2 linked regions of the Bombyx mori genome follow. The protein of the gene in region 1 purifies or fractionates together with the protein of each later gene. This does not show direct contact. Links are inferred from orthologs where the notes say so. Each region holds a gene or a part of one and is shown on either strand. Other genes may lie near its edges.

Evidence for each region. The genes of interacting proteins can lie anywhere in the genome.
Region 2: the proteins of glucose-6-phosphate 1-dehydrogenase (region 1) and histidine--tRNA ligase, cytoplasmic fractionate together in Homo sapiens (co-fractionation; 3 studies listed by BioGRID). This does not show direct contact. The link is inferred for Bombyx mori from reciprocal best matches to the Homo sapiens genes G6PD and HARS1.

Annotation. Positions count from the first base shown.
Region 1 is NC_085110.1:6,613,108-6,617,936, forward strand, and holds glucose-6-phosphate 1-dehydrogenase, read right to left. Parts: upstream 3,281-4,829; 5' UTR 2,852-3,280; coding exon 1,370-2,851; 3' UTR 476-1,369; downstream 1-475. UniProt on the Homo sapiens protein: Catalyzes the rate-limiting step of the oxidative pentose-phosphate pathway, which represents a route for the dissimilation of carbohydrates besides glycolysis.
Region 2 is NC_085119.1:11,015,115-11,018,542, reverse strand, and holds part of histidine--tRNA ligase, cytoplasmic, read right to left. Parts: intron 2,851-3,428; coding exon 2,644-2,850; intron 2,038-2,643; coding exon 1,743-2,037; intron 624-1,742; coding exon 523-623; intron 138-522; coding exon 1-137. UniProt on the Homo sapiens protein: Catalyzes the ATP-dependent ligation of histidine to the 3'-end of its cognate tRNA, via the formation of an aminoacyl-adenylate intermediate (His-AMP). Plays a role in axon guidance.

The DNA of each region.
Region 1 (4,829 bases):
AAGCTGAAATAGCCTCTCAAGGCTGTCAGCACAAGTGAGACAAAAAAAAAAGATAATTTCCTGTTCATTTAGGTAGATAGCTTATATAACTGGTTATCAACCACCATGTGGTGTGGTTTTAGCTAAGATATCTAGTAACCCTATTTCTGCCGCGTCCAGAAAAGTTGATATTGGCCTGCCAGATTTGAACCCCTTACTGTTTGACCACCTTATTCTTTGGGCCATGACTATTATTTAATAATCTATTGGCATCGGTGGTAAAGTAAGTATGTTAGTGATTTGCAAATCGTCAAAGCAAAAAAATAAAAAAGTTAGTAAGTTAGATAAGTATGTATTAAATTTGGTTTAGTAGTAAATACAAACTTGATTGTTATTGAGATCGAAAATGTATGACATATATTCAGGCATAGGTGTGTACTCCTTGTTAACATTTAACTACTGTTAGTGAAAGCAGGTACGATGATATAACTAATCATTGTTACAAGACATTTTTATTTCATGAAATACAATAAGAAAATTAATTTTACAATACACTTAATCAACTTAATTTTTTTAAGTTGTGTATAACGCAACAATAATCGTTCGAAACCAAAAAGCTGATAATATCTATTCAAAATATGACCTTTAACATTTATAAATACATACACCATTGAACGTGATTCATTACATAAACCACGTGATTATCACAGCTTTCATTCAATTACTCTGTCATTTTTTTATGATTACATTCGAGAAATAATTTTTTTATGATTATGTTCAAGAAATAAGGCACAAGCACAACCATATTTGATAAATTGGTCCCCTATTCAAATTTGTTGATCATATTTACTAACATATTGATAAGTGGAATGTTTACAATTTTAAATTTTAAGTATGTACATAGATACTCAATATACAATTGTTCATTATTGTGCTGTCAATGGAAGACTTCATTAGTAATTAAATGCATTCAGATCTATACCAGCCACATTAACCTTAAAATGACCTTAAAAGTTTTAATCATTTAATCTACATTGATACTTCAGTTCTAAAGTAACAATACAGAAAAAGTTCTGAGATTAAGAAATTATGTATACTTATATATTTTAATAGTAGCAGAAAGTTTTCTTTAATTGTTAAGTATGGAAACAAAACTAAGCATTTCATACCAGTGAAAAAAAATTTATGTGGTAATTAAACAGCATTCTATTAGTTGCTTTTTGTCTTTTAATCACAGTCAACTTAAATCCTCCTTTTCACCCTTCAGAATTGAGTTATTGATGAAATGTTGATCAAATTTTAAATATGTATATGTTTATTATGCACCTTTAAAATAAAAACCGACCCAAGTTTACCTACAACCTGAAAACCAATACAGACTTATTTTAAATCAATGAATAGGTTTTTTCCATTTATAAGACCCAGAATACTTGAAATCATATCCAGCCAGTTTATCATCAGCTTCTTTAGGACCTCTAGATCCATAAACATATGGCACTGGCTTAATGTGATTATCTTCGAGATCTTTGAGAATAGGTGTAAATACTCGCCATGCTTCTTTTAATTCATCACTACGCACAAAATGCATTTGGGTACCAGTGAACACATCCAATATGAGCCTTTCATATGCATCAGGTACACTGGCTTCTTTGTAGCGTGCACTATAAGTGAGGTCTAGTTCTGTTTCAACTAAGTCAAATTTCATTCCTGGAGATTTAGACATCATTTTTAAGTATAAGGCTTCTCCTGGCTGGACTCTTATGACCAGTTCATTTCGTTTTGCATGTCCAGAAAATATATCACCTGGAACGTCTTTATACTGAACACGAACTTCTGCTTTTCTTTCATTCAGAGCTTTTCCACATCTTAGAATAAAGGGGACACCTTGCCATCTTGCATTGTTGATCCACAAAGTAGCAAGAGCATATGTGGGAGTTAAGGAGTCTCCAGGCACAGTTGGATCATCCAGATAACCTAATTTTTCTTCACCTTGACCTTCAGGATTACCGACATACTGCCCAATTAGAATGTCTTTTAATTCTATTGGTTGGATATGCCTCAAAACTTTCACTTTTTCATCTCTAATATCATTAGGATTTAGAGTGACAGGCTTTTCCATTGCAACTAAAGAAAGTATTTGTAGTAAATGATTTTGCATGACATCTCTTATTATGCCAAAATCATCAAAGTACCCTCCTCTACCTTCAGTTCCAAATGGTTCTTTAAATGATATAAGAACAGATGCTATATTTTCTCTATTCCAAGCTGGATTGAATATTTGATTTGCAAATCTTATGGTCATCAAGTTTTGGACCATTTCCTTACCAAGGTAATGATCAATTCTGTAGATTTGTTCTTCGATAAATAGTCCAGCTAAGTGATTACTTAATTTCTCAGAGCTGACATCATCACGTCCAAAAGGTTTCTCAATAATAACACGAGTAAAACCTTTGCTAGATGTACAGGCATTTTTTATGTTTACAGTAACATCTTCAAAGACCGTTGGAGGTACAGCTAAATAAAAAATTCTGTTTGCAATAGGGCCCTTCTCGTGATTACTGATGATTCGGTTAAGAAACTCATAATCTATTCTTCCATCATAAGATCCCGCTACATAGTTATTGGCATTCCAAAATGTCTCTAATTTTTCTTCTTCTCCTGGGCGTATTTTCATGTACTTTTGACACCTTTCTCTTACTTCGGAAACAGATTGCTTAGTACGCGCATAACCAATAAACTTGGTGTTATGCGGCAAAAGGTTGTCACGATATAAATACCAGATAGTAGGATAAATTTTTTTTCTAGCCAAGTCCCCAGACGCACCGAGGAGTACAAATGTATGCGGATAATCAAATTCAGTTTTGTTTTCCATGTTTGTTTCAATACAAGAACTTCTACAATGATGTTGGACTACTGTTTTGGTGTTTTTTTATTGTAACAATCAAACACGAGCAAGTAAATTGTAAAATTCTGCGTCAAATTACTTATTATTTTGTTAAATGTTACACTTTCTATGTGGGGAAAGTTGAAAATTTCGTTTACTGTTATTCATATAAGCACCGCAGTATATTGTACTATAGTTTATGGTTTAAAAGACAAAATATAAATTGTTCACGCTCCAACACTACACTGTTAAATGTAGCCGGGACCAATTCCACCCAATTCACTGTTGAGTGAGTACTGAGTGGCAATGTATTCCTTCAAGGTTAAAAAATCGCATAAAAACATGCTGAATAAAAATTAAAGCTAGAAACAAACTAACGAATACGACTATATACCAGTCGCAGCATAATACACTTAATATTTGAGATAGTCGCAGTAAACAGTCGCGATATCCTATTTAGTCTACGTCATAGACACTTATTATTTAAGGTTCCGTAATGCATAGTATTCTTTGCCACAAATCACATAAGTATGCTATAAGGTATTTTGTTTGTCATAATATATTGAAATGTTTGGTAATATGTAGCAAATTGCATGGACAGTGACCAATGGGTAAAAAAGCTATGAAAATTGACTATTGTCTGCCTAAGTCGTGTTGGAGATTTTGACAAGAACATCAAAACAACTGTGTCCATTCTTCTATTTTTGTTATTTTAGTATTTCTTCAGTTTAATTTAACCATTTAGCAACTGTTAATATGTGAAGGTATGAAAAAAATTAACAAACGCAGTGTATTAAATTGGTATTTCCAAAATCTCACTGAAGTCGCAATGAATTCCCAACATTTAATTGGGACATTTTTAATTTCGTATGATACAATATCGTTTCATTCTATTTCATTAAAACTCAACTTAATACAATTTAATTTCAATGAAATTCATTTCTTCTTTCTTCATTTTTCTTAAAACACATACGACGACATACCTACTGTTTACCGCATTAGACTGTCCCCAAGCTCAGAAAACTCCTAAAAGTTAGGAATGCATCAATTCGGCCTTACGATCTTTATCCCATTGAATTGAACGGGTTTTGGATGAATCGTTTGCAGTGGGACGCCAAATCTCACCTAAACGAAGCCCGTAGCACAAGGTGGGAAAATTATTTAGAAGGACCGCGCCCTCTCACTAAGCGTATTGGCGTCTAGCTAGGAGTCTCAAATCAGGAACCAAGACAACTATGCTCCCCTTCGTATCCACCTCAGGGTAACCCCCTGCTTACGATCACGATGACAAGGCTGAGCTACTGGCCGAAGCACTATACGAGCAAGTCAACCAGTGTTCGAACCACGAACCCCGAAAACACTAAGTTAGTGGACAAGAAGGTCAAGCGCAGAGATTTCCTGGCACTTTCAGACGCGTTACCCCCCACTACTGCTAATGAAGTCAAGAAAGAAATCGGGAACCATATCTTTCTCGCGGTTGCGATTCCGATGCGGTAGCAGATTCATTCGCGAAGCAGCTACTCTTGAGTTGTTAGGTCTCCTTCGGAGGCGTTGCTAGCAAACCGCACCCTTCCTGACTGAACCCGTGGTCGCCCACCTGTCCTGGAGAAACCGGAAAGGCCTGCAGGCCAGCTTATCGCCAGTTATACTTCAATCCTAAAAAACGTTAAAGCGTGATGCCGTTCAGCAGACTATGCCTTACGCTCTACCTCTCAACAAAAAACACCTATTAGATTTTTACAATTTTTTGAAATTTCATGTTGACGACCTAAGCACATTAAAATTTGTCAAGTAGCCATCGACATGCAAATTATAGAAAACTTTGAAAGTTCTAGCGGACAATATTTTGTTTGATCTTTTGATGGATATTTTGTTATTTTTGTTTTCCTTACAGGAAGATGAGCATACGGCTCACTTGATGATACCGTCGTCCATGGACTTCAATAATGCCAGGGGCGGAGCTAAG
Region 2 (3,428 bases), on another chromosome or scaffold:
TCTAGGAAGTTCTTTTGTGCTGACGCTACATACACGTCAATGTCGCTTGTGCGAACCGTTATGTCACCGGCGGCGAGTTTCGCTTCCAGTACCGAGAATATACGCTCAACGCCAATACTCACACCTACACATGGCACCTGTATACATAATTATTTAATTATTTTGCAATTCATACTGAGAGCTGTACTAAGAAAAAATGGATGGATTGCGTGAAAGACGATATGGGTAAGAAGGGAGTGAGCGAAGAAATGGTATATGATAGAAGAATATGGAAGGAGAAAACATGTTGCGCCGACCCCAGGTAACTGGGAGAAGGGCAGGAGAATGATGTTGACTGAGAGTCGTCAGTTTCTTGCAACCATTAAAAAATCATTCCAAATACTTTTGATGAGTGGACAAAATAAACAAAACGTAGTAAATTAGATTGCATAGATCTTATGCCACGAAATTACGCCAGCAATGCCAGGGGTAGAGCCAGGCGGCTGCCTACCGCTTAAATATTTATTCGACATTCCAAAATACCTGTTTGTTTTTTGAGTCAAACATGCCGACGAGGTTATCGTATCTTCCGCCGCCAGCGATGGATCCAACCGTTTGTTCCTCATTTCCAATTTTAATAGGTTCTAGAAGGAAATAACAATTCGTGTTAGTTAGGCGTTAAGGGTAATTACAATCAATCTAATTGTCGGTATTATATAATTAATATCGTGCTTCAACGATCAAATTAACATTTTTGCTAAAGCATAATCATTAATGTTACCATTTTAATTGAAGTGTAAATTTCTTATTTCATACGATAAAGGGGCTGTAGTAAACGTGATAATAATTAATGAAGATTTGTTAAAATTCGACAGCACCGGCATTTGTAGAAGCTAAAAATATACGACGACGCGGAGCTCTGCGCAGATATGCCCATAGTTGAAGAACAGGATACATTCAGGGGGGAGGAGTCGCGGGGAGATTTCGATTTGCATAGCGGCAATTTTTTTTTACTACCTAAACTGATGGTCTTGAGAGACCATATCAGCGTCACAGGGCGAGTAAGTGAGCTCACGGAGCTAAAACCTGACGTTAAATAACTCAAAATAGTTTTTTTTTCAAAAACCTAATCGTCCGGAGGCCCGTAAAAGCCGGTGCAATAGCTAAAGATCCTACCGATCGGATATAACGATCTCGACGCGAGGGTTTAGCTTTTATTACAAGATTTTCTTCCTTCATTGCAAAGTCATTCGTGAGCATGTGTTAATTATGTATTTCATTAAAAAATCCCGTCCTAAGGATTTAAACATAGGCGTAGTTGCATTGTTTGATATTAGCACTACAGGCGCCTTAGCCTTTAGCCCACAACAGCTTCAAACTCATGTACCAGTTACCCCACCTTTGTTACAATATGTCTAATTTTTTCAAAATTAGTAAAATAATTCAATTATTATTTCTGAGTTCTGGAGCTAAATGGGCCAAATCACATTTTTCTATGAAATGAGTTTGTATTACTAATTTAATAAAAAAAGGATAATACGCCATTCATTTATCAACTTATCTTTAAAAAGTTATTACATAAAAAGGCCAATGTAATGCAAACTTTCTTAATGTTTAGTTATTGATGGGTTATTGTGGCTTAAGACTAAACGTAATTATTATTGTGCGGCTTTATTAGCACCACCATTACAATTTTAATTCAAAAAACAAGAAAAGTAGTATTTGATTTCAATCAAAACATTTTCATTATGAATTAAACTTACGTGTAAGCACTGCTTCATAGATAACACCAGTGTAATAATCTAATCCTCTGGCAAGACTCAAATCAAACAGAATCTTATCCTTAATGCCAAAGAGTTCACAATACTGTAGCAAAGTTTTGATTGCTTCTACACCTTCTAATGCAGCCTTTACTTTAGATAATTTCTCATCTTTCAATAGTTTCTCTACCAGTTCCGTGCTACCGTTTAAGCGTACATACTCTCCAATTCTGTCTGCTGCATCAGGTGACACACCTTTTTCATTAATCATTTCGGTTCTTACTTCCTCCCATGGTGACTAAAATGAATAAATTGACATTAATACCCAAAATTGCATGCACTTTTTTAAGGTTTATTGTTTAGGTGCAAGTGAGTGAATGAGCTTACAACTCACCTGACTTAGTCTACAGAATATTATCACTACATTCAAACTTGAGACTGTCTCAACATATCAATTACATTCACTTTTGGATTATATTTATTATTATTTTTTAGCCTGAGGGCCTACAATCTGTAAATCCTTATTGACTTACAATTATTTTAGTTATAGCAGACTGATTTTAAAATAATGTTATGCGGGTAAGAGTAACGCCATCTGTCATCAAATAGCAGAAACAAATATCTAACGAACTAGTAATATCGAGAACACTGGGGAAGTGCAACGCCATTTTTTATCAAATAGCCAAAACACTTATCAAAACGAGTAGTTCTATCGGGAATATTCTTGATAAATGTAGTCTTGTCATGTTGACTATAAAACTGTTGCAGAAATGACATTAAAGCAGTTAGTAGCCCTAGCGCTTTACAATAAGTTTTGTTTTGTTTTATATGAATCTAGATTTATTGTACTATGCATGATATACAGGTATGTTTTATTTATAATTTGTATCTTTTAATGCTTTACCTTATCTAGTTTATCAACTGTGGAGCATGTGGTCCTAAACTTATCTGCGGGAACTCCACAAGCTTCAAACATTCCATCAAGTAATCTTCTGTGGTTCACTTTGAGGATATATTGTCCTATGTCAAGAGCCTCTAGGATCTCTGTCACTACCTTCAAGCATTCTGCATCAGGTACCATAGGATCATATATACCAGCTATGTCAAAGTCCTAAAAAATAAACGTAAATTGTATTGTTGATAAAGTATTCTGGTAAAATATTTTAGTAGTCGAAAATCATTGTCCACAACCTTAACGAACTGATTAATTTTCTGGCTTCTTGGGAAAATCGGAATAAAAATTTCAACTTTAAGACAACAGACAACTTTTTTGTCAAGTTGCAAAGTACCATACATATTTTAAGATCCAAAAACCACCACACCACGGAATTAAATTAAAGAAAAAAGTATTTTTTAAAACCTAATTATATGTATTTGCAATCATTTAATATATTTTGTACACACAGCTGTTAGAAGAAACACAACAATAAGGATACAGAGTACAAGGGCACTACTTTATTATTATTATGCAATTGGTTTTCAAAAAACTCATAAATTACACTGTTTTATTTCTTTTTTTCCAAGTAAGAAAAATAATCCGTGCTCAAGGATGAAAATATATTTTAAAATCTTTTTTTTTTGTAATTTTAAATTGTGTTCATTGCTTTCTTTTTTTATTTAAAATAAATTGAAATTATTCAAACTATCACTTTTTTAATTTGTAATTTGAACAAGCATGAATGAGTTATC